Kluyveromyces lactis: one gene and its partners. The protein of the gene in region 1 binds, or shares a complex with, the protein of each later gene. Links are inferred from orthologs where the notes say so. Each region holds a gene or a part of one and is shown on either strand. Other genes may lie near its edges. The genes, in order: CBR1, DPH1 and KTI11.

Region 1 (2,854 bases):
CCCTTCCTGTACCTGATTCAGATTCCCTAAAGGCTTTACGGTGTGCTGTTGAAGAGTTAAAGAGACTAGGTACAGTCGATGTTATTAAGAAAATGGCAATTGTCTCTCTGGTCGGTAAGCAGATGAAGCAATTTGTTGGTATTGCTGGTACTATGTTTACAACCTTAGCTGAACAACATATTAATATTGAAATGATTTCTCAAGGTGCTAATGAAATTAATATCTCTTGTGTCATTGATGAGAGCAATGCAGTGAGAGCTCTTCAGTCTATTCATGCAAAATTATTAGATTCTCCGCAGAATGAAAATTTTGAATCAGCAGTGAATGAAAGGTTGGAACAAATCAAGCAAATGTCTTTATAGATGTTGATTAGATCAATCAATAGACCGAAAAAAATAAAGAAAGGAAACTATTTTCCATAGAAAGAAGTAGTTTATGATGTTCTTGTGATAGGCATTTTTGCACAAAGATGTTCTTTAACATAGTTTAATAGGCTCTTAACAGTACGTTTGGATGATATAGGTGCCGGAGCTAGAGTCTTTTAAGTAATGATACAATATAGAAAAAAAAAATTACCGACATTCTCCCGTCTTTTATAATGAATTTACAGGTTGGATAAAGATTTTACTTACATCATAATACTGAACCAGCGATATGTATTCTGATTGTCTTAAAATACAAAGATTTGGTCTCCCATCTTAGAAATAGGTTTAGCTTTCTCGTAACCTAAAGTGACAGCATTTCTCTTAATAGATGAAACCATAGGAGGCGGACCGCACACCAAAAGTTGGACGCCTTCAGCTGGAGCTGGAAGACGTTCTTTCATAGTATCAACGGTGATATACCCAACACCACCAGTCCAAGCTTCTGGAGCCTTATCTAACAAGTAATAAACCTTGAATTGATCTGGTTTTCTTTCAACAAATGCGTCCAATTCCTTCTTCAAAAGGATATCCTCCTCAGTTTGATTACCATAGACTAAAGATACCTTGGTTTTATCGGAATCGTTGGCAAAAATTGATTTCATAATTTGATACATTGGAGCAATACCAGTACCACCAGCGATCATACCGATTTCTTCATTCATGTTAGGTTGGTAATGGTAGAAACCCTTTGGGCCACGTACCTTAATTTTGTCACCAATGTTGAGCTGTGCAAAATGCTTTGAAATGTTACCCTTTTCGTAGGACTTAATTAAAAGTTCAAAGTGACCGACGGCGTCCGAGTCCAACGAAGTTGGTGTATAAGACCTTAAAATATCCTTGCCATTGATGTTTGCTTGAACAGAAATATGTTGACCAATTGGAAGCCCTAATACCTGTGTAGACTTTGGTAAACCAAATCTGTAAATAGCAGTATTATGAGTCAACACTGTCTTTGCCACCAATGGAAATTCCTGTAACTTCTCCTTATCTAGCACTGGCTTATCCTTCTTTGATTGGTATTCCAAAACAACGGCAATGATAGTGCACAGTAACACAAAGGTCGCAGTGAAAATGAACTTCCCAGGAACCATATTTGAGGTTAGGCTAACCGTCTTATTTTAAAGTATACACTATATCTTTTCAAATATAACAACTGGTACAATATAAGAGCGTTTATTGCCCAATGATCAATGCTATCGTACCTTGCTCATCAGATTGAATCCTCACATCCAAAAAAAATCTTATTTTCCATGTTGGCCTTCATTCAGAAAGGAAACATTTAAACCACACTAAAGAGAGGGTAAGGCTAAAAAACTACTTAGGAAAGAATGATGGGATGGACAGAATAGAGTGCAGTAACCTGCGCTAGCTTCCCTGCATAATAGTACTTAAGATATTGAGGATTAAGTGTGTTCAAATTTTATTATTTTATTCTTTAGCTCCGTTATTAGTTCTTTTTTGCTCTGATAATTGATTGGTTTATATTTGATGTTAGATGACGAGAGGTATTTGACCAAGTTCTCAATATCTTCCGATGATATCGATTGAATATGATCAGAGTTCAATAGCCATTCACATGTCTTTCCCATAACCGATTCAAATTGCGGGAAAGTAAATTTTTTTGGAACTTTTGTCTGATGTTCAATTTCTACCACATTTAGTTGGGTAGTTATGTCTCTTAATGTTAGGAAATTACCTCCAACGATAAACGAGTCCTCAGGCGTATACACGGCATGAATGTATCCACACGGAATCATGAATAAATTACCCTCGGTCAATTCCATTGCGATACCTGCTTCTAGCTGATCTCCTAAGAAAATGTCATTCTGATTATCGTTGTCACACCATTCTCTGTATTTCTTCAAGTTGTAATCTGTCGGTGGGAATAAGATGAACTTCTTTGATCCCGAGATTACATTATAATAGACACTAGTTCCAGCAAAATCCAAATGAAAGTCTGTATATGCGTTACCCACGGACATTAATATGTATTTGGTAACTTTCGGCCGTTCGATGTCGGTCTCTGTACGTCCAAAATTCCAAACTATATCAACCAAATCGTTATTATTCACAGCATTGGGACGTCGTATCCCATCTTTGAAACTTTCTACATGGCTTACCTCCAGGGATATAACATTTCTAATACGATCTCTATCGGAAGGGCTAGTATGAGAATAGTACTCGTTCCATTGAGAAAGTGTCCATTTCTCATTCATTTGAGTCTGAACATCCATAACGTCTAATGGATAATCATCCCCCATGATTTTTGTTAGATATTCCACGTTAAGTTTAACATGATCTTTCGAATCGACAAGACCTAGTTCATTAGCTGAAATCACATACATACCACTATCGGCAGGATCGGATACTCTTAATGGTACTTTAATGATTTGGAAATCAGATTCCAATTCTGACGAGCTGATCGCCTT
Region 2 (3,362 bases), about 2.2 Mb from region 1:
TTAATAGTTTTGATCTCGTGAAATCAAAACTAGGTCCCTTTCACAGCACCATTTTTTCATCTGATTACGGCAAAAGCGTCTTTTCGAAACTGGAAACGCAGTATACATTATGCGTTACCAAGTTAAAGGAAACAATGAATAGCTATCTGTTCGAATCAACGGGTATGGAATTGTACTTTAATCTCTTCAACATGATTTTCCCAATTATTTCTGTGCAAGATGAGCTTGATTACGACATGTATCTTTCGGCGGTTGAGAACCCAATCATGAAATTAGCAGTTATTCACGACAATATCCACGAAAAATTGAACACCTATCTTCCATTAGCAGTTTCTGATTTTCAAGATGTAAAATTATTCAATTTGATGCCACCAGCGGTTGAAGAGGACATTGTGTCCACCTGTTTCGGAAATTTTATCAAATTCTATAAAGTGTTCAAAAGCGTTTTGAACAAAATATATCCGGAAGACGAAGAAATGATAATGTCGACATTAAACTTTACGACTAACGAAGTTTCCACCCTACTAGGTGTTGAAGATAAATAATTAAATAAACAAATGTGATGTCCCAGATTGTAATTCGATATAATTAATGCATTTACTTAGATAGTTACGTCGTCATGGTTTGGGACCTTACCTCTACCATATCCGTTAATATGATAATAATCCATCGGGTAATATTTCTCATTGAACATCCGGTCGTTTTCAAGCATCACGTTAGTTTCGTACGGTGTTAGTAATGGTTTATTGAAAGCATACCCCCAATCAATGGACAACCTTGGGCAGGCAACTTGAACAAAGGCATCGATATCATCAAACATTGCAAGCTTTTGTGGGAAAATCTCGCTGAGAATAATCTTTACTACAGTCCTTCCGGAAGCCTTGAGCTTAGTTTCGAGATTTTCAACTGTTGCTAGATTACCTTGTCTACCTAACGCGCCAAGTATCAAACCAACTTTCTTCGAACTGCGAGCTTTATCAATGGCAGATGCTCTTACCTCTACCAATTGCTTCTGATCGTAACGTTCTCTGGTGAATCTTCTATTATAGGGATCATATCTGAAAGCAGGAATTTCAGGGTTATGAATCATGGCCGATTCTAAATGAAACCTACCATCCCCAACATAAACCATCGCATCTATTTGTTCCTTGTTTAGTCTTTCAGAAGTACACCCAAGAACTTCACCCTTCGAAAGTGGTTTGATCTGAGGGGGGATGATATATAACATGTGTTCCTCCGACTGCAACAATTTGTCCTTCATACTATGGATAGTTGGATTAAACTGAATTGTTCCGAATGCAGCAATCCGTGAACCTCTTGGGAAGTTCTTCTGTAACGTCTTTATTAGATGTGTCTCATCAATATTGATAGTGACAAAGATGTAAAGTACCTTGATAGTAGTAATATCGATCGGAACTAAGCAGGAATGTGCATAATGGACAATGAAATCACAATCCAACGATCTTGCTGTATAGTCATCAATACAGCATGCACCATAAGAAACATCGCCCATAACCACAATCTCACACTGACAGAACTGCTCCAAAATATCACTTATCACCAAAGAGTATATGAGCAACCCTTCAGGCATTTGAATAGCAACACGCTTTGCTTTGTGCTTTCTAATGTTCCATACAGTTTTATGTATTTCAAAGTTATAGTTCGAGGGAAGAAGCTTGATAGCAGCATTTAACTCTTCGTCATTTAAAAGCTCCGGCGGTATCTGATTAATAGCATGACGAATGTTAGTCTTAGGCTTGATTTTCTTCACTAGCTCAGTGGTTGATCCCGAGGGATCACTTTCTTCTGCAGCTTTTTTGATACCAACAAACCTTCTTCTAGGCTTTTTCTCAACTTCACCCATAGTCATCACAAAAGGCGCTATTTAGCAATTGGAGCACAACACTTGCAGTTAAATGGTGTCTGGAACAGTAAAACCTAAACCGACTCATCTCATCTCATCTGTTGGTAATTCTTTTCAAATATCCAAAGTTGGAAATTTTTCTTTCTTTTCTGTAATCGTCTAAGTAATTTCTGATGACTGTAATTCTAAAAGGTCAAGGTATGTGCCACTGAGATGGGATTATATGTCCTTTTTAGTTGCTATAAACATAACTATCTGAATTGCTAATTTGACCACCCATTAATTTCAGAAACTATACAAGAAGTAACTTGGTACCGGAGTTTCGTATTTTACCGGTATAGTGTTCCTAATGATAACTCCAAGATTTACTGTCACTCAGGATGATGAATACATTTATGTACAAATTAAGGTGTCAAGCATAAGGTTTAACAGTGCTGGTGTAGAGGTTGTAATAGATGGTTGTATGTTTATCTTCCATTTGTCGCCGTATTATTTGAGGTTGAGATTATCAGATGAATTGGTGGAGGATGAAACTTTAAATACAGTGGAATATGATTCCAAACAAGAGAGCATCAATTGTAAGATTCTGAAGGCAGTTAAAGGTAAAGAGTTCAAGGACTTAGATCTCGCTAGCAAATTATTGGCAGCAAAGAATGAACCTAAAGTGACAGATGGGCCGTTGATTCAAGAAATTAGTAATGAGAAAGAATCAATTGCTGATATTCGAGAAGAAGGAGAGCATTTTGATTGGGAAATCAAACAAGAGGTTCAAGTAGATAATACACCAACAACGAAATACGGTTTCGATAATCTTTATACAGGATATATTGTTATGTCCGTTGCAAATGGCAATGACATTAACGAATTGGATGATCCTGAACATACTTCTCCCGAGAACAGAGTCAAGGAAAGATTGAAGAAGGAAAATTTGAAATTTGATCCAGAGTACTATGCTGCTGAATATATAACCATAAAACAGGGCGATGAAGAGGAAATCCAGATTAATGGCATAAAAAGATTGCTTGGGTACCTTCCTCCTCTTTGCGAAAGGTATCAGCAGTGGTTCGAAAGGTCAGACAATGAATCGAAGGAAAGAAATGTATCTTTTCCTGTGGAGTTCACCGAAGCGGAACAGACTCAGATGCAAGACCACATTCCTAAAAAGAAGTACTTAATAAATGACGTTAAAAGCCAATATCTAACGATATTATCAATATTATATTCTTACACTTTTGAGCAGATCGAAAATGAGGGACAACATACAACTGAAAGCCAATGGACAATCGGTAAATTGACCCCACAGATCTCAATGTTGGACCAACAGATTCTTCTATCCGAGTCTTTAATACATTTCTCTCAAATCAAAGGTACCATAGTAACAGGTATTAGAAGAGCTCTCAGCTATCCGTTGCATCGTAACTATGACCTCTGTATCAAAGCATGGCAGTTGGCTATCAAGCTGTTACTTGGAGGGAAACGTTTGGTAATAAAAGCGTTA
Region 3 (2,150 bases), on another chromosome or scaffold:
GAGAACTGAGGAGGATGATTTTTGGAATAGAATATTAGCGATTTAACCGGCACATAATGGATATGTCTTAGCGGCCTAGCGACTCTTTTCATCTCTAAAGGGGAAGCCAATTCCCTAGGGTTTGGTGAATCATGATTATATTTCACCACATATGCCAACTTCGGATCGTGTTTATTTAACAATTCTTCCGCCATGGTAAAAGAGTTACAGCAGTATGAATTTATCCAGAAAGGCTTGAAGTGGTAAGCATCCTTGTGTTAAGGGTCATGGTAGCGGAAGTCTGTGTAAACTCCGTTCTAATTCTTTTAATTGACGCTTTTTTTAAATGAAATTTAGTTTAATACGAGAAACAATAGATAATACAGAAAATGCTTAAAACAGAGAACATATATACGATCCGGGGTATATAGTACGGACTTGTGAACGATATGCATGATGTGGTAAGAACTGAATTTAATGACTGTCCAGTGCGGATGGAAGTGTGATAGTGGAGCTTGCCAGAGGATTGATAAATCATCCCTAGAATGAAATTATATACAGTGCGGTGCTTGAAGAGTGGTGAGAAAACCATAAACAAACTAAAAGAACACACTCTGTATAACCATGCAAAACTAATGCAGATAAATGACGAGGGTGATGCTGCAAAAATATTTTACACAGCTACAGCAATTTTACCCGGTGGTTCCAGATTTGCTTCCACATAATATTCCACCAAGTCTTCCTTGTCGAAAACCACCTGGATCATCAACGAACAACTGGGACAAACTGCAATGTCTTCTCCGTCATACATATCATCAATGGAAATTTGGAACCTGTCACCACAGGGACAAGGATACGTAAATATCTGTGTATCTGGGTCGAAAGTCATATCCTCAATCTCAACCTCATCGTAAGTGGACATTGTTCTAATACTATTAATAATTAATTCTTTCTCTTTAAGTTAACTTCTAGTAGTCACTTCTCTCTTCAATATGCCAGCACCAGGTTGACCAAAAGTTTATTCCAATTCCGTACCCTTAGGTTAGAGAATATTGAATGCACTGGGTATGAAGACATAGGTATTAAACATAATGCGATGAGCGTAATGATTGACTCAATTGTCATTTCATGTCAAAAGTTTCAGTTTTTCTTTTTAACTTGTTGAGAAAACCGGGAAAAGAAGGACTGGTTCTTTTGAAGAAGTCACGTGATATTTCGGGACTATCACAACCCAGACATATATTTTACACCCATACATAATTCAATTTCATTTATTTTCACTAATACCTAAAAAGGTAATAAGTATTTTTAAAACAGACAAATACCATAATGGTTAGCCAGGCCGTCCCAAGCCACTCACTACCGGTGTAAACCCCCTCTGGCCTCAGAATGCTCTGGCCCACACCACTCATTCAGTTTCTGGCTGCCGTCGATATCCCTGCCCGTCTGCCCAGAGAGCAACATTCCATCTACCACCTAGGCAGAATCTTTCCCCAGGAGTCTCTCCTCCAGCTCACCTTTGGCCATTCTCACGCTTTCTCTGTCCCTTTCTCTGGGCGAGCTGGTTCCCTCTGGCAGTCCAATACTCGGCAGTGTGGTCCATTTTGTCGAAAGAACAACTTTGATTTCCATCTAGTGAAAAGTTACAAAATTGTTGTATACTGTTATATACTGTTACCTTCTATAGTTATTGTATTGGATAGTTCTTGAAATACAAGAAGAGGTCAAGAAGCCAGGTCAAATAGTATGTTTTATACGTGGGTACTATTGTGCTTTGTGGAGTAACCAGCGGATGCAATACAATGAGAGAACAGTGCGATTACATGTTTAGATATATTTGAAAGAGTTTTGAATTGATGGAATGAATTAGAAAATGTTTTAGATCACTGAGGGTGAATGACAGTTACCAAGGAATAATCAGTGGGAAGTCCGTTATGGTGTAGCAAAAAACTAGCGAACTGAGGAGATTCATACGAGTAAAGAAGCGGCTTTCTAATATCGAAGGTGGGAAGTACGGGATAGTATACAACCAAGAAGGCGAAATTATTTGTGAAGTAATTAACTCAAAGAGAAAACATCGTTGGTGGCATCTGAAGTTATCTTATATAACTACTCTGTGAAAGTACAAGCAAAAGCTAATTAACGGCAATCAAACGAAAGAAAAATTTACT

What was found.
Region 2: CBR1 (region 1) and DPH1 share a complex: the UniProt entries of both Saccharomyces cerevisiae proteins name them as parts of the 2-(3-amino-3-carboxypropyl)histidine synthase complex. The link is inferred for Kluyveromyces lactis from reciprocal best matches to the Saccharomyces cerevisiae genes CBR1 and DPH1.
Region 3: CBR1 (region 1) and KTI11 share a complex: the UniProt entries of both Saccharomyces cerevisiae proteins name them as parts of the 2-(3-amino-3-carboxypropyl)histidine synthase complex. The link is inferred for Kluyveromyces lactis from reciprocal best matches to the Saccharomyces cerevisiae genes CBR1 and KTI11.

The regions. Positions count from the first base shown.
Region 1 is NC_006042.1:2,559,385-2,562,238, forward strand, and holds CBR1 (cytochrome-b5 reductase), read right to left. Parts: upstream 1,517-2,854; coding exon 671-1,516; downstream 1-670. Other genes in the region: HOM3 (aspartate kinase), read left to right, coding at 1-362; JHD1 ([Histone H3]-lysine-36 demethylase), read right to left, coding at 1,829-2,854. UniProt on the Saccharomyces cerevisiae protein: NADH-dependent reductase for KTI11/DPH3 and cytochrome b5. Required for the first step of diphthamide biosynthesis, a post-translational modification of histidine which occurs in elongation factor 2.
Region 2 is NC_006042.1:373,098-376,459, reverse strand, and holds DPH1 (2-(3-amino-3-carboxypropyl)histidine synthase), read right to left. Parts: upstream 1,871-3,362; coding exon 602-1,870; downstream 1-601. Other genes in the region: Golgi transport complex subunit COG6, read left to right, coding at 1-545; Hsp90 cochaperone SHQ1, read left to right, coding at 2,214-3,362. UniProt on the Saccharomyces cerevisiae protein: Catalyzes the first step of diphthamide biosynthesis, a post-translational modification of histidine which occurs in elongation factor 2.
Region 3 is NC_006041.1:1,816,789-1,818,938, forward strand, and holds KTI11 (Kti11p), read right to left. Parts: upstream 902-2,150; coding exon 653-901; downstream 1-652. Other genes in the region: KLLA0_E20417g (uncharacterized protein), read right to left, coding at 1-194. UniProt on the Saccharomyces cerevisiae protein: Required for the first step of diphthamide biosynthesis, a post-translational modification of histidine which occurs in elongation factor 2.